4 linked regions of the Arabidopsis thaliana genome follow. The protein of the gene in region 1 interacts with the protein of each later gene in a pairwise test. Each region holds a gene or a part of one and is shown in the gene's direction. Other genes may lie near its edges.

Evidence for each region.
Region 2: the proteins of AT3G42725 (region 1) and NLM1 interact in a two-hybrid assay, tested with the Arabidopsis thaliana proteins (one large-scale study listed by BioGRID).
Region 3: the proteins of AT3G42725 (region 1) and AT2G37050 interact in a protein complementation assay, tested with the Arabidopsis thaliana proteins (one large-scale study listed by BioGRID).
Region 4: the proteins of AT3G42725 (region 1) and AT3G57220 interact in a protein complementation assay, tested with the Arabidopsis thaliana proteins (one large-scale study listed by BioGRID).

Annotation. Positions count from the first base shown.
Region 1 is NC_003074.8:14,842,344-14,845,443, reverse strand, and holds AT3G42725 (Putative membrane lipoprotein), read left to right. Parts: upstream 1-1,725; 5' UTR 1,726-1,753; coding exon 1,754-2,362; 3' UTR 2,363-2,595; downstream 2,596-3,100.
Region 2 is NC_003075.7:10,421,011-10,425,548, reverse strand, and holds NLM1 (NOD26-like major intrinsic protein 1), read left to right. Parts: upstream 1-2,040; 5' UTR 2,041-2,139; coding exon 2,140-2,307; intron 2,308-2,419; coding exon 2,420-2,644; intron 2,645-3,068; coding exon 3,069-3,287; coding exon of another isoform or gene 3,288-3,338; exon of another isoform or gene 3,339-3,438; coding exon 3,439-3,500; coding exon of another isoform or gene 3,501-3,504; exon of another isoform or gene 3,505-3,604; coding exon 3,605-3,821; 3' UTR 3,822-4,028; downstream 4,029-4,538. UniProt on the Arabidopsis thaliana protein: Water channel probably required to promote glycerol permeability and water transport across cell membranes.
Region 3 is NC_003071.7:15,567,376-15,574,322, forward strand, and holds AT2G37050 (Leucine-rich repeat protein kinase family protein), read left to right. Parts: upstream 1-1,550; 5' UTR 1,551-1,914; coding exon 1,915-1,993; intron 1,994-2,245; coding exon 2,246-2,783; intron 2,784-2,866; coding exon 2,867-3,372; intron 3,373-3,445; coding exon 3,446-3,578; intron 3,579-3,665; coding exon 3,666-3,737; intron 3,738-3,823; coding exon 3,824-3,892; intron 3,893-3,969; coding exon 3,970-4,041; intron 4,042-4,141; coding exon 4,142-4,207; intron 4,208-4,295; coding exon 4,296-4,459; intron 4,460-4,548; coding exon 4,549-4,793; intron 4,794-4,886; coding exon 4,887-5,013; intron 5,014-5,093; coding exon 5,094-5,162; coding exon of another isoform or gene 5,163-5,170; exon of another isoform or gene 5,171-5,237; coding exon 5,238-5,424; intron 5,425-5,523; coding exon 5,524-5,659; intron 5,660-5,760; coding exon 5,761-6,102; 3' UTR 6,103-6,374; downstream 6,375-6,947.
Region 4 is NC_003074.8:21,172,597-21,177,779, forward strand, and holds AT3G57220 (Glycosyl transferase family 4 protein), read left to right. Parts: upstream 1-1,798; 5' UTR 1,799-1,919; coding exon 1,920-2,287; intron 2,288-2,510; coding exon 2,511-2,598; intron 2,599-2,722; coding exon 2,723-2,814; intron 2,815-2,893; coding exon 2,894-3,012; intron 3,013-3,095; coding exon 3,096-3,211; intron 3,212-3,319; coding exon 3,320-3,447; intron 3,448-3,554; coding exon 3,555-3,641; intron 3,642-3,755; coding exon 3,756-3,816; intron 3,817-3,901; coding exon 3,902-3,942; intron 3,943-4,028; coding exon 4,029-4,149; intron 4,150-4,248; coding exon 4,249-4,308; 3' UTR 4,309-4,598; downstream 4,599-5,183. Other genes in the region: AT3G57210 (uncharacterized protein), read right to left, coding at 766-1,136, 1,252-1,357; AGL16 (AGAMOUS-like 16), read left to right, coding at 5,114-5,183.

The DNA of each region.
Region 1 (3,100 bases):
CGACTAGTTCTAACCCTTTAATCAAACAAGCTTTACAATTCTGATACACCCAAAGAAAACAAACGGTAAATTAGAGATTCTAACCCAGTTCCTCCGTTGCCTTTGTCGCAGAGCGTTTTCTCTGCGGGGAAACTCTTAATACCCGCTTCTCCTTCCCTGGACCATGCTGCTTCCTCGGGACTTCTTCGTTTGCTTTATTCCCAGCCATAGCTAAAGTTGCTATCTCGCCGGAGGTTCAAATTTCGTCGGAATAAACAGTAACTTTTTCTTGGCTTCGCCGGGAAAAACAGTAACTTTCTCTTCCCCGGATGTGGGAGTTCAGTGACTCAATTCAACTACCCAACAATTCGAAGTTATGTCGAATTTTGAAACAATGGATACTGAATTTCGTTTCGCTTTCTAATTCTCTCTCAAATCTCTCCGTTACTCTCTTCTCTTTTTCTTTTTCTTCGGTTTCTTCGTTTCAGTTTTTTTGTTTTGTCTTTTTCAAAACTGAACCGCATCAACTAAACCGAAACCAACTGCTGTAGGGTTTGGTTTATGCCATCAACTGAACCGATACGAACTGCTGCACGGTTTGGTTTGTGCCATTATTAAGTTTTCCCAAGGTAATTTGGTCCGAAATTGAATGAAAAGACAAACCGTAAAAACCAGTTCTCACTTTGACAAACGGTGAGAGCAAATCTTTTTTCGTCCACTTCTGTAAATTTTTTTTTAATGGTTAGTTTGCTTTTAATATTAAAATATTAAATATATTGGTTTTGAGACACTAAAAAAATAATTATGCAATGAGAATGCTCTAATGGTCTAATCTATGGTTTTCCGTTGATTAATACAAACCTTATTTTTTATTACTTGTGTCAAATTTCACCGTCCTATTTTTGGTGTCTTCAAACATCTTTGTTTTATGTTTACCTTTTTTGTTTTAATTATATTATTAAAGATTGTGTCTTGGTTTGAAGGAAAGAAAAATCTTTAGATGCATATTCTATTGTTTTTAAGCTCTTAATTTTTTATTAGAGTTTCAATTGGCTTAACTACAGTGACAAATAAAAGAATTAATGATCGATTGTGTTTCGACGATGATTTTTTTACCGAAATATATACCCAACGACCAAGGTTGATCTTGGAAATCGTACGATTACTCATCGAACACATGTTGTTTTGCACGCAGTTGTTGACACGTGGGTTTGGATGGAGTCAAGACACAATTTCTTTTGCAGTTAAACAGTAATCTTATAAGCTCATATTGTACCTCAATATTTTTATAATCTTTTTTGGGATTTTTGGTATAGTCTATGTATATGTAAATAAAATATTAAAATATTGCAATTGAGAAAGAAGAAAAATTTAAATATTTTAGATGCTTAAAAAATACAATTGACATAAAAGAGTATTTTATGGACAACATGAAATATATCAAAAATAATAATCCTTTTCAAATTTCTATTCGAGTAGCAATTTAGTTTTAGGTCTTTGAGAAGAAAAGAAAAAAAAAAGCAATTTAGTTTCAGGCATTTATGTAAACAATAATGATAAAATAGTATTACTAATTCAAATATATACGACCGTCATTTTCGTGAGGCTAAAGGTCAAAAATCTATTACAATACTTTTGTGAAGCCCATTATGTCAATATAACCGTTAAACCTCATCATAGCCGTTACATCTTCTCCCCAACGGGCGCTTAGTTTCTTACTTTACCTATATAAAACTTGAAACAAACAAAAAAAACATAATTTCACAAAACATCAATGGCTTCTTTTCACAGAAAGTTATGTTTGTTCCAAAACATTCTCGTATCGTGTCTGAATTTCACTCTCCTCCTCCTCTCCCTCTGTTCTTTCGTACCAATCATTCTTCTTAGAAACCCTCCAACTTCACTCGGTTTAGCCTTCCTCGCAGTCTCACTCGTCTCTCTGATCTCCTCTTTCGGTAGTGCCTCTTCGCACCAATCTCGATCATGTTTCATCGCGCGGATAACGCTTCATGTTTCCTCACTGACGGGTCAGTTTATTGCAGTTTTAATGTTGTTTAGTAGAGAGAAACAGAGTCTTTCTTTGCTGATATCGACTCGAGACCCTAGAGAGGCTAAAGCTTTGGTTAGAGTAGAATGTGGTGTTTTCGTGGCGATGATTCCGTTACAGATAATGGTTCTAGTGCTGGCTTGTTTGTTACATTGTTATTGGGTTAGAGAGTTCGAAGGGTTAGATGTTGAGAGTGAAGATTCTTTTAGAAGAAAATGTAACCGAAGAGTCTCGACCGCTGAAGATGGGACTAGTTCGGATTTAAAGAAAATGGAGTTGGACGAGAAGATGAATGTGAAACATGTTCAGTGGGTTAAAACAGATTTCGAAGGTTAAAGTGTTTTTATGAATCTATAGTTTGTGATTATTGTTCAAACTTCAAAGTTATATTTTATGTCTTAGTTAAGAAAATTATTTATTTGCTGTTACAAAACTTTGTTAGGTTTTCTACAATGTTGTAAGTAATATGTATGGCTACTTGAATTGTCCTAGTAATGGTTGATCTTGTATTTTTTTCTCTCGTACATCCACCATTAGTGGGTAATTTACATACATACACTAGTACAAAGATGCATGTATTTATTTTGCATTCTTTCATAACCATAAGAAAGATGTCTTAATATCATCATACTACGATCCATTAGCTGTTCCTAAGATCTCAGAGATTCAAAGCAAATTATTCGGCTCAACGATCAAACACATCCTAATGTAAAAAGAAGAAGAACCAAAAACAACCTAATCCAAAAGGGAAAAGCACCAAAAACCTAACTAGAAACTCTTTAAGACTGGACTCGGGTTTTGGAAACCTCTACGGTTGTATGTGATACCGTATCTCGTATCAATATCTTGACCTTGGGTGAGGTGGTGGCAAGCTTCAACAGGTTCTTCAATATCTTGAGCTTGGGTGAAGCGGTGGCAAGCTTCAACAGATTCTTCAATATCTTGAGCTTGGGTGAAGCGGTGGCAAGTTCCAATAGATCCTTTGTGAGTTGCACCTTTTGGGGGTCATCCATTGGAGATGACAACTTTCACAACTTCAAGACACTCCATTTCCAGTAAGAAATGGCTAATCTG
Region 2 (4,538 bases), on another chromosome or scaffold:
TTTCCAAAAATTACAAAAAATTAAAATATATTTTAATTCAATTAATGGTTTTGAATTACAATATCTGCATTTTAAGAAATCACATAAGATTTTTAGATAAAATTCAAAAAACAAATTTAGATATATATTTTTTTGGAATTTCTATTTAAAACCTGGTGAAATTGATAATGTGTTTTAACATTAATACATATACTGATAAACCATTTTAGATGAAGATAATATCTATATAAAATTTTCCTTTGCATTATCTTTGATACGTAAACCAGATATATTGCAATTAAAAATATAAAATTACGGAATAACATTGTAGCGAGAAATTGTGGAGCGTCATAATAAAAAAAGTTACATAGTTTTGGTAGAAATTTTTGACATGTAAGTTGTGAACAGACCCGTTAACAAATTTATGTCTCATTTACTTTATGCACACATACTACTCGTAACACTCTCACATCGTACAAAGATATAGATCTAGCACACGTATAATAGCTTCGGAAGTCATGCTGATGAAATGATGTTGATGATGATGAATATGATGGTGTATGATTATATCATGATGGGTTTGATATCATCGATTATAATAAAGTTATGATGATGTAAAAAAGTTAATGAATTGAATCCGAGTGTCGTGGTGGAAACATTAAGTAGCCCCCATAATTCATCAGTCCATTCAACTCATTTATTTCATCAACTTATTAAAATAATATAAAATGATAGTCAATTCATTGGTTGAGTTAAGTCAATGATCTACTAATTTTGATCGACTTTGATACTCCTACATTTACATCAATGTTTCTTTTTCTTTCTGAAATATTCTTTATTTACCTTCCCTTTGCATATATGTATGTTCTCAATTTCAATTCATATTCACTCCTCCTATTTTTTTGGCACCATACATCATGCACATCTGGATCGATACGTAACATGAAAGTCTTTAAGATTTGTCTTGTCACCATTAACCAGCATACGTGTTTACATGTGGAATTAACATTGCTAATTTACTGATAATTCAAATTGTACATTATAAAGAAACTTCATTTTTTCTCTGGTGGCCCGTGGCCACAACCCTACATTCTAACATCCATTAAAGAGGGTTCGAACTTAACCTAATCTAGAGATGACATTTTGAGTATTGTCGCAAATAAAACATTCTGATCATAATTAACATTTAGTTATATGTTAGTATGGATTCAAACCTGAGGTTGATATGATCGGATCCAAACAGTACACTACATTAAGTTTACGGATCGCAATCAAGATTGTTACGTTGGCATCAAGGTATATATAAAATATCTTGAAATTTTTTAGTAATTTTTATAATGTTGTGTACATATGTACACATGCACAACTATAAGCTAAATAAAGTATGTCCGTATTACCCGCTTGGTAGTTGAAGACTTAAAGAGGCCATCATCAATTCCATCTAGTGACATTTTTCAATTTCTCATAAATGATATAGTTTATTCTATAGTTTGCATGACATAATTTTGTTTTGTTTATATGATACGAACAAATTTGGGTGTAACAACATATGACCGGTGACTTTATATCCGAAATTCAGAATTCGATATGAGATGTTCTAAATGAATACTTATGTGAAATACAAACAACGCATAAAATGACGTATATATACTTATGTGATTATAAATGAATATTTGGAAAGTAGAATAAAAATTTAAAAACAAAAAGTAGATTGCAAGTATGCAACATTTGAATCCTAGGCGCGGATGGTTATGCATGTACGACATGCACGAATGATATAGGCTCTCTGCACAACACACAAGATCAAAACAAACAAATTCTGCATGTAGCATTCTAAAATTTTCGATAAATTTTATATTTGTTGATCTAAGAAAAAATTGTAATCCCTGAAAATTGAATTTGAGACCTGGTATAGAATCTCCACAAACATAGGAATTTATTATTATTAAAAAAGCTTTATTAACAATATATCATCTTCTTCTTTTTTTCAATTAATAAACTGGTAATATTAAAATCGTCAAAGAAGTCTCTCTCTCCCCCATGTTTGCCAATAAATAGGAGATAATCGCTACCAAACTTCTCATTCTCACAAGTCATAAACAGTCGTTTATAGTTCAATCCTTTTCCTCTTCTTTGTTTCTAAAAAGAGAAAAGTCACTTATGGCGGATATCTCGGGAAACGGCTATGGCAACGCCAGAGAAGAAGTAGTAATGGTGAATCTCAAGGATGAAGTCGAACATCAACAAGAAATGGAAGACATTCATAACCCAAGACCCTTGAAGAAACAAGACTCTCTACTCTCAGTCTCTGTCCCTTTCTTACAAAAGGTTTTTACTTTTAACTCTCCATATCCAACATGTTTTACAAGTTATAAATGAAAAGACTCTGTTTTGTACCAATTCACAAGACATCTCGGTTTTATTTACGCTATGTTTTCAGTTGATCGCGGAGTTTCTTGGAACCTACTTTTTGGTATTCACCGGTTGTGCATCGGTGGTTGTAAACATGCAAAACGACAATGTCGTGACTCTTCCAGGGATCGCTATCGTTTGGGGACTCACCATTATGGTCCTCATTTACTCTCTTGGTCACATCTCTGGTGCTCATATCAATCCGGCCGTTACCATTGCCTTCGCCTCTTGTGGCCGTTTCCCTCTCAAACAGGTCCTTAACACATACACAATTACATATAGCCTTTATATAATGATCGATCAAGTTTTGTATTTTATGTGTGTTTTTGAGTTTCATGAACAAACTAATTAAAGAACATTAGTGTATTTTGTTTCCATTGATCTAGTTTAGCTATCGGTTGCTTGTATTGCACACGAGACTTTGGGTTATTCAAATACGTAGCGTTTTTAATGCAACGTTTACTATAGATGAGTGAAGATACGTAAGGACAAATCTACTTTTGCTAGTTTCCAAAATAAATTAAAATGTTATGTAACTTTTGTATGTATATAGTTTTTCCACACGTCCATATTTTGTTATATAAACGTCAAAATATCTTCCAAGATTGGGTCCCTTCCCTAGTTAGTGTGAACTGGTGAATTAATTTATTTTATTTTTGTTCTTTGAATTTTTTTAGGTTCCAGCTTATGTCATATCACAAGTGATAGGATCAACGCTCGCGGCTGCGACATTACGGTTGTTGTTCGGACTTGATCACGACGTTTGTAGCGGAAAACACGATGTGTTTATCGGATCATCACCAGTGGGATCAGATCTTCAGGCGTTTACGATGGAGTTTATCGTCACTTTCTATCTAATGTTCATCATTTCTGGCGTTGCTACCGATAATAGAGCGGTTAGTATTTTCATATCTTCTTATGTTGTCAAATTCGATGGCTTATATTAGTGTTATTAATTACTGCTCCCTCTCAGAAGTTACATTTGTTTTCTGTGGTCTTTAAATTTACGAGAAACTTAACATTGGGACCAAATGCTGCAATATTCAGATCGGAGAACTTGCTGGATTAGCAATAGGATCAACGGTGCTACTTAACGTGCTAATTGCCGCGTAAGTTATCAGTTACCATTTCTATTATTGTGCTTATACTTTTTTTTTTTAGAGTAAGAATTCCAAAAAATGATTTATACGGTTATGTTCATCAATTTTATTAGACCGGTATCGAGTGCGTCGATGAATCCAGGAAGAAGTTTAGGACCTGCACTGGTCTATGGTTGCTACAAAGGAATTTGGATATACTTAGTTGCGCCAACTCTTGGTGCGATTGCGGGTGCATGGGTTTATAACACAGTTAGATATACCGATAAACCATTGCGAGAAATCACTAAAAGTGGTTCATTTCTAAAGACCGTGAGAATCGGTAGCACTTGATAAGAGAAAAGAAAACATGGGTGGAGTTGATGGAGTATTTTCAAATGAATGTAACAACTTTCACCACACCTTACGTATATGGCCTTTGTATTAATTGCTACGTTTATCTCTTTTATTGTTAACGCCAAGATTCTCTATCTTGTTATTAATGTGTAACTGTATCGTATATTTTTTAAATAATAAAATTCAATTCTAGAAAGATCAAACTTTAAAGTTTTAAGCAAAATTGTTGAATATGTAGAATTTGGAATTTGTCAAAGGAAAGCACAAGATCCGGAGTCACAATCATTTGCCTAGTGGGGCAATACTTTTGTCCATAGAACTTAAAAGCCGGGCACGGCACGTGTTGGTTTGACCTGATAGATCAAAACTAAACATCATCCACCACATACCAATCTCTAACGAATGGCACACATCCCAAATCATTCACCTCATATTTTTCTCATGCAACATCAGGAAACTTTTCATTTGTGATGAATAAAGAAGAAAACAATGAGGAAACTTTTCATCCACTAAAATGTGAGAAAGAAGACCAATTATTATTCATCTAATTACCCAACAAAGAATAAATTACATATTAGTTGGCTAAAATAAGATTAATTTTTGAAGAATTTACTAATCGAAAAATCCTAATCAAACCGAAATTTCGATCGAGCATAGTAGACTGAGCTGGCCAGCCGCTATGATGTCACAATTCACTAACACAAGGAAAAACTA
Region 3 (6,947 bases), on another chromosome or scaffold:
TTAAAACAAGGGTGAGTTTAATATCTTAATCGAAGCTCAAGTGTTTTTTTGATGGTAAATTAATTCTCATACTTTTTACTATTCTTCTTTCATCTCTTATTTTACTTCTTTATATCTGCAATTTCTTTTTTGTATTAAACTGCAATTGTATTTTCACGCAAGATTTTTGTATTAATACAAATACTTCAATTTTAAAGTCATCTCTTATTTTACTTCTTTATATCTGCAATATCTTTGATATTGTTTCAAAGGCAGCGTCTGCGTCATGTAGTTACTTATTTGTGCACATTTTACATTTTTTTTTAGACTTCCAAGCTTTGGGTGTCAACGAATGTTTGTAAACTGAATTACTGATGATGAGAAGAAGAACACATTACAATTGGTTGGAGCTAATGATGAAATAAGCGGACATGTATATACCCAGCATAATTTTCGTACTTATACTCTCTTATATTTCTAAACTCTTGATTTGTTAGTTATTGCCTATCGCAATTGATTCATTGGGTAGAAAAGTTGTACCTTCTTTATATCTTTTTCTTAATCTTTGTATATTCTTCGATCAATGATAATAAATTTGTTGTATATTAATACTGTCTGCTTTATTTTAAAATTTTTAGTTAAAAGTTGTAACAGATATAATCTAAAACAATGTTATCCCTAAATAGGGGCCAAATGCTAGTTATATTCTAAATCAGTAAATAATAGTTACTACATGCACACTAAAACAGACATAGCGTACGTGGGGGACTTATTTTGGGAATTGTCACATGTGTGTGAGTCACTCACCACTAGGTTCGATTTATATCTAACGATTTTTCCCGGAAATATTTATGGACGAAAAAGCAAACATTATAAGATTCATTTGTTTGTTTTATATAGTACACAAATAATAGAGAATTAAATCACTAATTTTAATGAAAATTAAAAATAAATAATATATATATATATATATATATATATCTGTTGACGAAAATAAAAGCAAGTATATCCGAATAAAATTACGAATATAATTTAGGGATGAAAATAGAATCTCCTATACAGTTAAGATATTATAAGAATATTCATGGTTAGACTATCTTAGAATTAGATAATTAAGGAAAATTATCGTGATCATCAATTTACAAATTTCATACCTGAATTCATTGTTTAATAAGGTAACCTGTTTATTTTAGTTTTAAAAGTATATCAACAAGAGAACTTTGATCACTAAAAAACAAAATTCATACAAACTTTAATCACTTCCCTATATTGAAATGATCTAATCTGGATGAAAAAAATATTATTTATTAATTTCCCATAAAACAATAAACATGTGGATGTAGCTCTTAAATATTCTTAGAGGCAGAGAATGTCATTTATTCAAATCCGGAAATATATTAAAAATGTTGAACAAAAAGAAAAAGAAATATATTAAAATGACACCGTTTCGCTGGAGACTGCTTGGTGGTGGAATTCACTACAACACGTTAAAGGTGGAACACAACGAATCTGGACCATTGAGTTTAAAGGTAAAGCAATTGAACCGTTAGATGTACGTAGAGTCCAGGCTAGGAAGATGGACCCAACAATTGTACCTTTACCACTTACCTCCACTGGCTTTGAAGCTGTTCCTCTCTCACATAAAAAAAGCAAACACTTAACGAGGAAGAAACACACTCATATCTCCTCACGTTCCCCAATTTTTTGATTTTTATTATCTTTTTGGGTTTTTGGGTTTGGTTAAACCATTTATGGGTCTTTAGATCTCTCTTGATAGTAAAGATAAGTAATTTTAGGGTCTGTTTGGTTCTGTTTCTGGAAATTTCACTTTTTTCACTTTTTTGGGATCACATTTAGCTTTTTTTGGTTCCTTTATTTTGTAACGCCATTTATGCGTTAAACTTGTGTGAAGTGTTTGTTTGGTCTGAGCTGGAGATGGTGAGAATCTCACTGCTTTTGTTGTGTTTACTGGTTTCAACTTGTCTCTTCACTTCTTCATCAGCACAAGCTCCAGGTAATTGACTGCTTCTGAGTACTTTTTGATGTTTCCTTGTTGAAATAGTTGGAAAGATTCTATTTTTATGTGATGTAGTAGTAACAAGGATTTTTGAAAGTTTAGGCTTTTGTTAACAAATCTCAAGAGCTGGTGGTGTTTGAGATTTGTGTGTAGTTATGCTCATATATGTTTGTTTAGTTAGATTGAAGTAGGGAAAAAGGGAATGGTAACACAAAGAATCAAACTTTTTTTTTTTTTTGGGTAAGGCAGGTTTTGTGAGCTTGGATTGTGGAGGTGCAGAGCCATTCACTGATGAACTTGGACTCAAATGGTCACCTGATAATCATCTCATTTATGGAGAAACCGCTAATATATCGTCCGTTAACGAAACAAGAACTCAGTACACGACTTTAAGGCATTTCCCTGCTGATTCAAGAAAGTATTGCTACACTCTCAATGTCACGAGTAGGAATAGATATCTCATTAGAGCTACTTTCTTGTATGGTAATTTCGACAACAGCAACAATGTGTATCCCAAATTCGATATCTCCCTCGGGGCGACTCATTGGGCGACCATTGTTATCTCTGAAACCTATATAATCGAAACTGCAGAACTGGTGTTTCTGGCTTCTTCTCCTACTGTTAGTGTTTGTTTGTCAAATGCCACAACTGGACAGCCGTTTATATCTACTCTTGAGCTTAGGCAGTTGAGTGGTTCGATGTATGGTTCGATGCTATCTGAAGACCGGTTTTACCTGAGTGTTGCAGCACGGATAAATTTCGGGGCTGAAAGTGAAGCTTCTGTGAGGTCAGTATACAGTTCATAATCTGTTTGTTGTTTCAGCATTGTGATTTATCAGGATGAGTTAAGGAAATGAGTTGGTATTGCAGGTACCCGGATGATCCGTATGATAGAATATGGGAATCTGATTTGCAAAAGAAGCCTAATTATCTTGTGGATGTTGCTGCTGGGACTGTGCGAGTGTCGACTACATTGCCAATCGAAAGCAGGGTCGATGACAGACCGCCTCAGAAGGTTATGCAGACGGCTGTGGTTGGAACAAACGGGTCCTTAACTTACAGAATGAACCTAGATGGCTTCCCTGGTTTTGGTTGGGCATTCACATACTTTGCTGAAATCGAGGATTTGGCTGAGGATGAGTCAAGGAAGTTTAGATTAGTTCTACCTGAGCAGCCTGAGTATAGCAAATCGGTTGTTAACATCAAGGAAAATACACAGAGACCGTATCGCGTTTATGCACCTGGCTATCCTAACATAACACTTCCATTTGTGCTAAACTTTCGATTTGCCAAAACGGCTGATTCTTCTAGGGGACCTATTCTGAATGCCATGGAGATCAGCAAATATTTGCGGAAAAGCGATGGTTCAGTAGATGGTGAGTACAACTAGCCCCTCCTCTTAGTGTTGTGGCCTCACATTTGATTCTAAGATGATTGCTTGTATTGCAGCAACTGTTATGGCTAATGTGGCATCGCTATATTCTTCCACTGAATGGGCTCAAGAAGGCGGTGACCCTTGTTCACCCTCACCGTGGTCATGGGTGCAATGCAATTCGGATCCACAACCAAGGGTTGTTGCTATGTAAGGAAGTCTATCTTAGTACCTTTATTTGCAATATGTCTTTTTGTCTGCATATTTCAACTATGTTATGCTTCATTCTTTCTGCAGCAAGCTGTCGAGTATGAACTTGACGGGAAATATACCTTCTGACCTGGTGAAATTGACTGGTTTGGTTGAGTTGTAAGTTACTTATTTCTTAGACTTTTGAATTTGGGATTATATAGAGATATTCTCTTTACTGATGTTGCAACTTTTGTCAATGGCAGATGGCTTGATGGGAATTCTTTTACGGGTCCAATACCGGATTTCTCTCGGTGTCCAAACCTGGAGATAATGTAAAATCACTTTCTTTGGAGTTTATATATTTTTTCTTGCCTTCATCTAACTATAAATATATAATGGACTGTGGCAGACACCTCGAGAACAACCGACTAACCGGAAAGATCCCTTCCTCGTTGACGAAACTCCCAAACCTGAAAGAACTGTATGCTTTTTTTAAAGGATAGTTTGATATATTAATTTGTGTGGTGGGGATGACCTTTTAATCTACATTCTTATGCACCCAACCTGCTTTATGATTGCAGGTACCTGCAGAACAATGTGTTAACAGGAACAATACCATCAGACCTGGCCAAAGATGTGATCTCAAAGTAAGTATATTGTCGGATTTAAACTGCTTTTGCATGAATAGTTCCTAGCTAGATCTTCTCAGTAACACATGTATTCTTCTTCCTTCAGCTTCTCTGGGAACCTTAACCTTGAAAAAAGTGGAGATAAAGGCAAGAAGCTCGGTGTCATCATCGGTGCATCAGTTGGTGCTTTTGTTCTGCTAATTGCAACCATCATTTCTTGCATCGTCATGTGCAAAAGCAAGAAGAATAACAAGTTGGGAAAAACTTCGGGTATGTTATATTTCTTCAAGTATACCGGTTTCATAGTGTATCTTGATTTTGAATGAATATGCTTACCTTTTTTCTTGGGTTTATTTCAGCAGAGTTAACGAATCGTCCCTTACCGATTCAGAGAGTTTCGTCTACCTTGAGTGAAGCTCATGGAGACGCTGCACATTGCTTCACACTTTATGAGATCGAGGAAGCCACAAAAAAATTCGAAAAGAGAATTGGGTCGGGAGGTTTTGGAATCGTATACTATGGTAAAACAAGGGAGGGGAAAGAGATTGCTGTAAAGGTTCTTGCAAATAATTCATATCAGGGAAAGAGAGAGTTTGCAAACGAGGTAAATCTGCCTTAGTCTAAAACCATGTGCCTAAGTATCTAGTTTTATTTTATTTTGCTTAGGAAGTAACACAAGTGATTATGGTTTTTTCAGGTTACATTACTCTCAAGGATACATCATCGGAACCTTGTGCAGTTTCTTGGTTATTGCCAAGAAGAGGGAAAAAACATGCTTGTGTATGAGTTCATGCACAATGGGACTTTGAAGGAGCATCTTTATGGTAACATATCTTTTTATGATAGGATGGTATATTTCAGCCTTTTGGCTTAACATTATGATAACAAGTGGATTTATTTTCAGGCGTGGTACCACGTGACCGGAGAATCAGTTGGATTAAAAGGCTTGAGATAGCTGAAGATGCAGCCCGAGGTCCGTGAATTGTACAACAAAACAGAAAGCCATTTTTTCGATATTTGATTTTGTTGGTTTTGATTGTTTCTGTAGGGATCGAGTATCTTCACACAGGGTGTGTTCCAGCAATCATACATAGAGATCTCAAGACTAGTAACATCCTACTTGACAAACACATGAGGGCAAAGGTTTCAGATTTCGGTTTGTCGAAATTCGCAGTTGACGGGACCTCACATGTCTCCAGCATTGTCCGTGGCACAGTTGGATATCTTGACCCCGAGTAAGCTAAGACTTAAACTAATACCAAGAACTTCAGATAGATTCACCAAAACTAGCATAATATCAAGAACTCACATATTTTCTTTATTCGATGTTAAAGGTACTATATATCGCAGCAGTTAACAGAGAAGAGTGATGTATATAGCTTCGGAGTCATTCTTCTTGAGCTAATGTCTGGCCAAGAAGCCATATCGAATGAAAGCTTTGGTGTCAACTGCCGGAACATAGTCCAATGGGTTAGTTCAACTTTTTTTTTGTGTGGTTACGCTTTGTTTGGATATATGTAATATGGAATCATAACGGTTTATAAATTATCGCTTGGTAACGGTTTTTGTAGGCTAAGATGCATATAGACAACGGGGACATCCGAGGGATCATCGATCCAGCGCTAGCGGAAGATGATTACAGTCTCCAATCAATGTGGAAGATTGCGGAGAAAGCGTTGCTGTGTGTGAAACCGCACGGGAACATGAGACCTTCGATGTCCGAGGTGCAAAAAGATATCCAAGACGCGATTAGGATCGAGAAGGAAGCGTTGGCTGCAAGAGGCGGTATATCAGACGAGTTTTCCAGGAGCTCGGCTCATTCGTCTTCGCTCAACATGGGAATGCTTGACCTGGCTGGATCACAGAGTTATGTATCCATTGATGAATCAGTATTGCAGCCAACAGCTCGGTAGTAGATTCGGCTTTGTTTGTACAGATGCATTACTTGCTTGTGTTTTTGACCTTTCACATTGTCTCTGGTCTTTAGTTATTAGTTTTGAGCTTAACACTACTTTTTTTTCTTTCTTTTGGACTCGAGGTTACAAGAAGTGCTTCGAGTTTGTTTGTTTTTCTTTTATTGTTTTCAGACTAACTCGGTGATTTATGTGGGATTGTGATATATTATGTTTTCTTTTAACTGATTTTCACATTTTCAACTGATTATATAGGATGATGTTTATGCTCTCGTAGAAATAAGTTCTATAGGTTATTGACACATTCGAGATTCAGGCGCAGTTGTGTTAGTAGTGGTCAAACCAAACCCACGAGTTACTTCTCATGATACAGTAGGTTAATAAAGGGCTTGAATGGTGTACACTTTTATTTTACGTTTTGAAAACATAATTCTGATAAATACATGTTATTCTAAAAAATTTACGCTAAAATTATAGAACATGAATTTAAACACTATAATCTATAACTATATTTTTTTTAAAACATTGATTTAATGATATGGGATGTTTTTCTCAGTGCTTATAAGCCAAAAAATATGTTGGTAATCTCAAAAAAAAAACCTTGAAAACAAGGAGGCCGATCAGGGTTCTTTGGGCTTTGGAATCGAGAAGTTTGATCAATGTTCTCTTGGTACAGCCTGATGATGAGGCCCCATTAGAAAAGCTATTTCATACTCCAGAGTCCATATCTGAATGTACAAGGTTTTTAAATGGAGAAAAGCCTATAGAAGAAATTGTTGACTATACTTCTTCTTGTACTAGCTGGGAAACTGATACTGACTATACAGATACTGAGAAAGAAGAGT
Region 4 (5,183 bases), 6.3 Mb from region 1:
CTTAAACCTTACAGAAACTTAATGTTTCAGACTGAGAACATGAGCAATAATTTAGAAGAGAGTACTTAAGTCAAATTAGTAGCAACCAGGCATTGACAAGTACTGATAAGGTTGTGGACCATAACAACCAATAAGAACAACTTAAAAGAACTTATACATGTTGGACGTATGATTTAGTAGTTACTGCATTGTTTAAACTTTTCTTGTTAAAATCTTTCTTACACTTTGATACAAAAGAAAAAGATGGTCATATTCTTAAATACTTTATAGTTTGTGCCTTTTTCATGTGATACATAACTCTGAAATCTAAAATAAATTCTTATTACATACAGAAACTATTCAAGGTGGAGACATTTAGGAAACCGTACAACACACAGAAACCAGTCCACTTAACATTTTACCAAATTAATAAGTTTAATAATATCATCTCTAATCCAAATTTTGAACCGCCATGGTTTTTGTAAGCCTTGCGCCGTCAAAGTTTAGATATCCGCCATGGTTTGGGAATGCTGAAACGCCGTAAGAGAAGTTTCACGCTCAGACTCGTACCCTTTTTGGGTATACTTTCGGATGGCTGATTCTATGGATCTTGTTTTGCGAAGACGATGAGCCAAGCCAACGCCATGGTTTGTGCGCCGCCGCCGCCATATCTGCCGTGATTTGTGAATTAAACGCTGGGACAGAAGTTTGCTACTCGTAGCCTTCTTTTTGGGTATGATATCTGAGCTTTGATTCCAACCGTCGAGACTAAAGCATCCCGTAGTCTCATTGAAGGTTTCTTCTAACTACAGCTATGCGATCAAGGTTCTGACCACAGCGAGCCTTACAAAAGTCAATGTACCTTATGTAGACAGTTGCATTCTTAGCAGTGAGAGAGGACTCACTGGGTGGCTCCATAGTTTGAATGGCTACTGACACAATCCTCAAGCCGGAAAGATCATGATCCGTGGTGGTCCTATCAGATATGGCAACAGAAAGTTCCAGATACAGACGAATCCAGTCATTGGCTCGCAGCTCTGATTCATCATCCACCACGTAAAATCGGTTTCTGTTTTCGAAAGGGTTCTCCAGCGGGAACTCAGGCAAGCTACCCATGCGGTAGAATTCTCTTTCCAACGACGTTTTAATGATTGTCCCTAAAATATACAATGATGAATGAAATACTAGTTGTTGTAATAATAATAATGATGTGTTAATGAACACGCCTACCCAAGTAAGGAGTCACATGTAGTATAATAATAATTTAATTACCTGGACGACGTCTTTCAGCAATAAAGGAGGTCAAAACAAGCCGGCCACAAGCTTCTTCATAAACGGAAGTCTGAAAAGTAAAACGCCTTCCACTAGATGGCTGCATTGCAACCAAAGTAATGTAGAAACAGCAAGCACCAGCAGCCAGAGTCCTGTTGTATCTCTTAACGTGAGAGAGCTTTAAGTTTGTCCCCTGATAAATCAAAAACGAAATTTGAATAAAAAGAAGAGCAAGAGTGGATAAAGAAAGAGAAGAAAGGAAGACAAGAGTCTTACACTTTGATTAAAAAAAAGATAGTATAGTTAGTAATTGCCTAATTAATTTCACAAAGAGAGATGATAATCAAAGAAGTTAAATAAGTCTATGGGATGCATTCTTAATAGTAATCTTGTTAACTTCTTTCTTACATTATGAGTCTTTGATTATATAAAAAAAAAAGATATTAGTAATTTGCCTAATTTCACATGAATCCCATAGACTTATTTATTTCTTTATACTTTGCTTTTTTGGGCCTTTTTGATAATTCATAAATAAGTGGTGTTGATACGATGTCGTATTGTTGTGCGTGGGCAAGTTGTAATTAAATGCTACAGGCTTTGAAGCTTCAGCGAAAAGTGGAAGAAGCAAATCCAGAGGCGGGGAACCAGAAATAGCCAACGGATCCGCCATGACTGCTCGTAAGAGAACTCCTTCAGTGTCCAATTCGGAGAAACTAGCTCTACCTGAACCTGCATCTTCCCCGACGGTTCAGAAGACCTCTGTTTCCGGAGAGGATTTCCAGCTCGCGCCGCCGAAATTGGGCGTGATTTTCGTGATCTCTTCGCTTCTGTGTTCGCTTTATCTTTACCTTCTCTGTTTCCACTACAATGTTGACAATGAGCTCAAGCGTCCGATCCTCATTAACGCTGGGCTTAGCTTGGTTGGATTCTTTGTCACACTCAAGTTGATTCCTGTAGCTGCTAGATACGTTCTGAGGCGTAATATGTTTGGTTTTGATATCAACAAAAGAGGCACTCCTCAAGGAGAAGTTAGAGTGTATGTTTTTCCTTCTTAGATTTGTCTTTGTTTAGTTCTCAGATTAGTGTTCAGCGTTTTTCTAGAAATGGATGTCTCTTAGATTTGATTTTTTGTATAGGAGGAAAACTATGAGATGTCTCATTTTCTGATTGATGTTCTATGGATGTTTACGCTTGATTTGATCTCAGGGGACTTAAAGTCTTTTGATGTGCTTATTTTCAGCAATCTTATTTCTTTGTAGGCCTGAGTCATTGGGAATTGTTGTCGGTATTGTCTTCTTGATAGTGGCGATTGTATTTCAGTTCTTTAATTTCACTGAAGATTCGGTGGTAAGTGTCCTGGTCTCAAAAGCTCAAGCTTGATCATTTATTTATTGTGAACTATGAACTTGGTAGCTCTTGGCTCATTTACTTTGAATGCAATTTATCAATCTGGCTAAATGACTCGGTGCAGTGGCTTGTGGAGTATAATGCAGCACTGGCGTCTATTTGCTTCATGATATTGCTTGGATTTGTAGATGACGTCCTTGATGTGCCTTGGAGAGTGTAGGTGCAGTTCTCATTTTGTTGGATTAAAAATTCATGATTTAGTTTTGTTTTCTTATTAACTCTTGTCAATTTGCAGGAAACTTCTCTTGCCATCTTTTGCAACCCTTCCACTGTTGATGGCTTATGCTGGACATACAACTATCGTCATACCGAAACCTTTAGTTTCTTATATTGGCTTGGAAGTGTTTGATCTAGGTACAATTCATCTTGTATATAGTGTTAAACCATCAATAGCTATTTTGAAATTCATTTCCTTAGTTGTATATTTATCGTGGCAGGACGTATATATAAGTTATATATGGCGCTACTGGCTGTCTTTTGCACAAATTCTATTAACATTCACGCTGGTTTGAATGGCCTTGAAATCGGTCAAACCGTAGTTATTGCAGCTGCTGTAAGTTCTGCTGTCAAAATGCGTCGCAATGCTTCATTTTTTTGGTCCCATTTTTCCTTCTGTTGGTTTCTCGTAAGTAAAGTTATGATAAATCTCAGTAACTTGTAGATTCTGATACACAACGTTATGCAAATCGGAGCATCTGTTGATACTGAGTATCATCAAGCTCATGCCTTCTCAATCTATCTTACTCAGCCATTGATGGCAACATCCTTGGCAATGCTTGCCTACAATTGGTAATCTTTGGATCTTTCAAGTCATTTTCTCTTAAATCAATCAGGTAAACTAGCAAAGCAGAATGCTTTCTCTAACCACGTTCATGTCCCCTCTTTGGTGATGTTAGGTACCCTTCTGCAGTTTTTGTTGGAGACACTTACACAGTCTTTGCTGGAATGACTATGGCAGTTGTTGGCATTCTCGGTCACTTCAGGTATACTTCTAACCATACCGTCCTTATTGCAATGTACTTAGATTCATCATTTACATTTAACTTATGTGTGAGCCTTCAATTAACTAACTACTTATGAAACTTTGCTTTTTGCAGTGAAACCCTGTTAATCTTTTTTCTTCCTCAAGTGTTGAACTTTTTACTGTCACTTCCGCAGGTTTGATACCTTTCTCCATCTCACACTTTCTGTTACTTTTCAATACATTTGAAAGCATCTAACTTGCTATTGTATAACTCTTCAGCTTGCTGGCATTGTCAAATGTCCACGACATCGTCTCCCCAAGTAAGCTATTTTTTGTCCATTTTTCATAAGAGGCAAAGCCAACAAGTAAACAACACATGACTCTTCCTCTCTCTTTTTTAAACCAGGTATGATCCTGCTACGGGACTGTTAACAGGAACAAAAGATGGGACACTCGTGAACGTCTACTTGAGGATTTTTGGTAGGAAAACAGAAAAGTCTCTATGTATTCATCTTCTTGTTTTCCAGGTAAACTTGTTAATGCCCATATTATCATCTCTAAATACAAGTTGGTTTATTCTGAGAGAGAGAAATCACAAGATTGGTGTTTTGTGTGTTCTATTGCAGGCTCTTGCTTGCGCATTTTGTTTCATGCTTAGGCATTTTCTAGCTGGTTGGTACAAATAAATCTCTGCAACATGAAGAAACTCTAAACCTGTTCCTCTTTTCATCTCTCTCTCTGCCTTCACAAATCATACAAACACAGAACTTGTTTTGCTTCATGTCCAACAATCTACTAGAATCATCGTTTTAGTTCACTTATATAGAGAGTTTTCATCTAAAGGCGAGTGTATCTCAACAATATAAAGCCAATGAAATGAATCAGAACAAATTTGTCTTGGAATTTAAATTTAACTACAAATGCTGATCTTATTTTGATAACTTTGATTAATAAACTAAATAATTTTTAGATTAAAGTTTTGCTAATATAGCATGCATTAAATGAAGTGTCCATTTACATATATTTTTGAATTTTAAAAATGCGCTTTTAATATTAGACAGACTACTGTCGTACTAGAATAATAAAGAATGTAATAAAAAAATAGAAGGAGAATCGGAAAAGAAACCCACTTATAGAATGCCATGTGTCAAAACATAACAAGCGAAGTATGTTTATATAGTAAGAAAACTCTTTTGCCCTAAATATCCCAAATTGTCATATGTTCTTTCCTTATGTGGCTCTCTCTTCTCTTTCTCTTTCTCTTTCCTTTTTCTCTTTCGATCAACAAAACCACATCTCTGAACTGAACCAATTTCTCTTCTCCCCCTTCCGGTTATCGGATTACCAGATCTCGTTTCCCGCGATCTAGTTTATTCTTTGAAAAAGGTAAATGTTCAATTTTTTTATTTTATTCAAAATCTCCCCTGGATTCAGGAGATGATGATTTGAAATTGACGATGATGTTTGTGTGTAAAAGTGATAGAAGCAGAAATGGGAAGGGGCAAGATCGCGATTAAGAGGATCAATAACTCTACGAGCCGTCAGGTTACGTTCTCGAAGC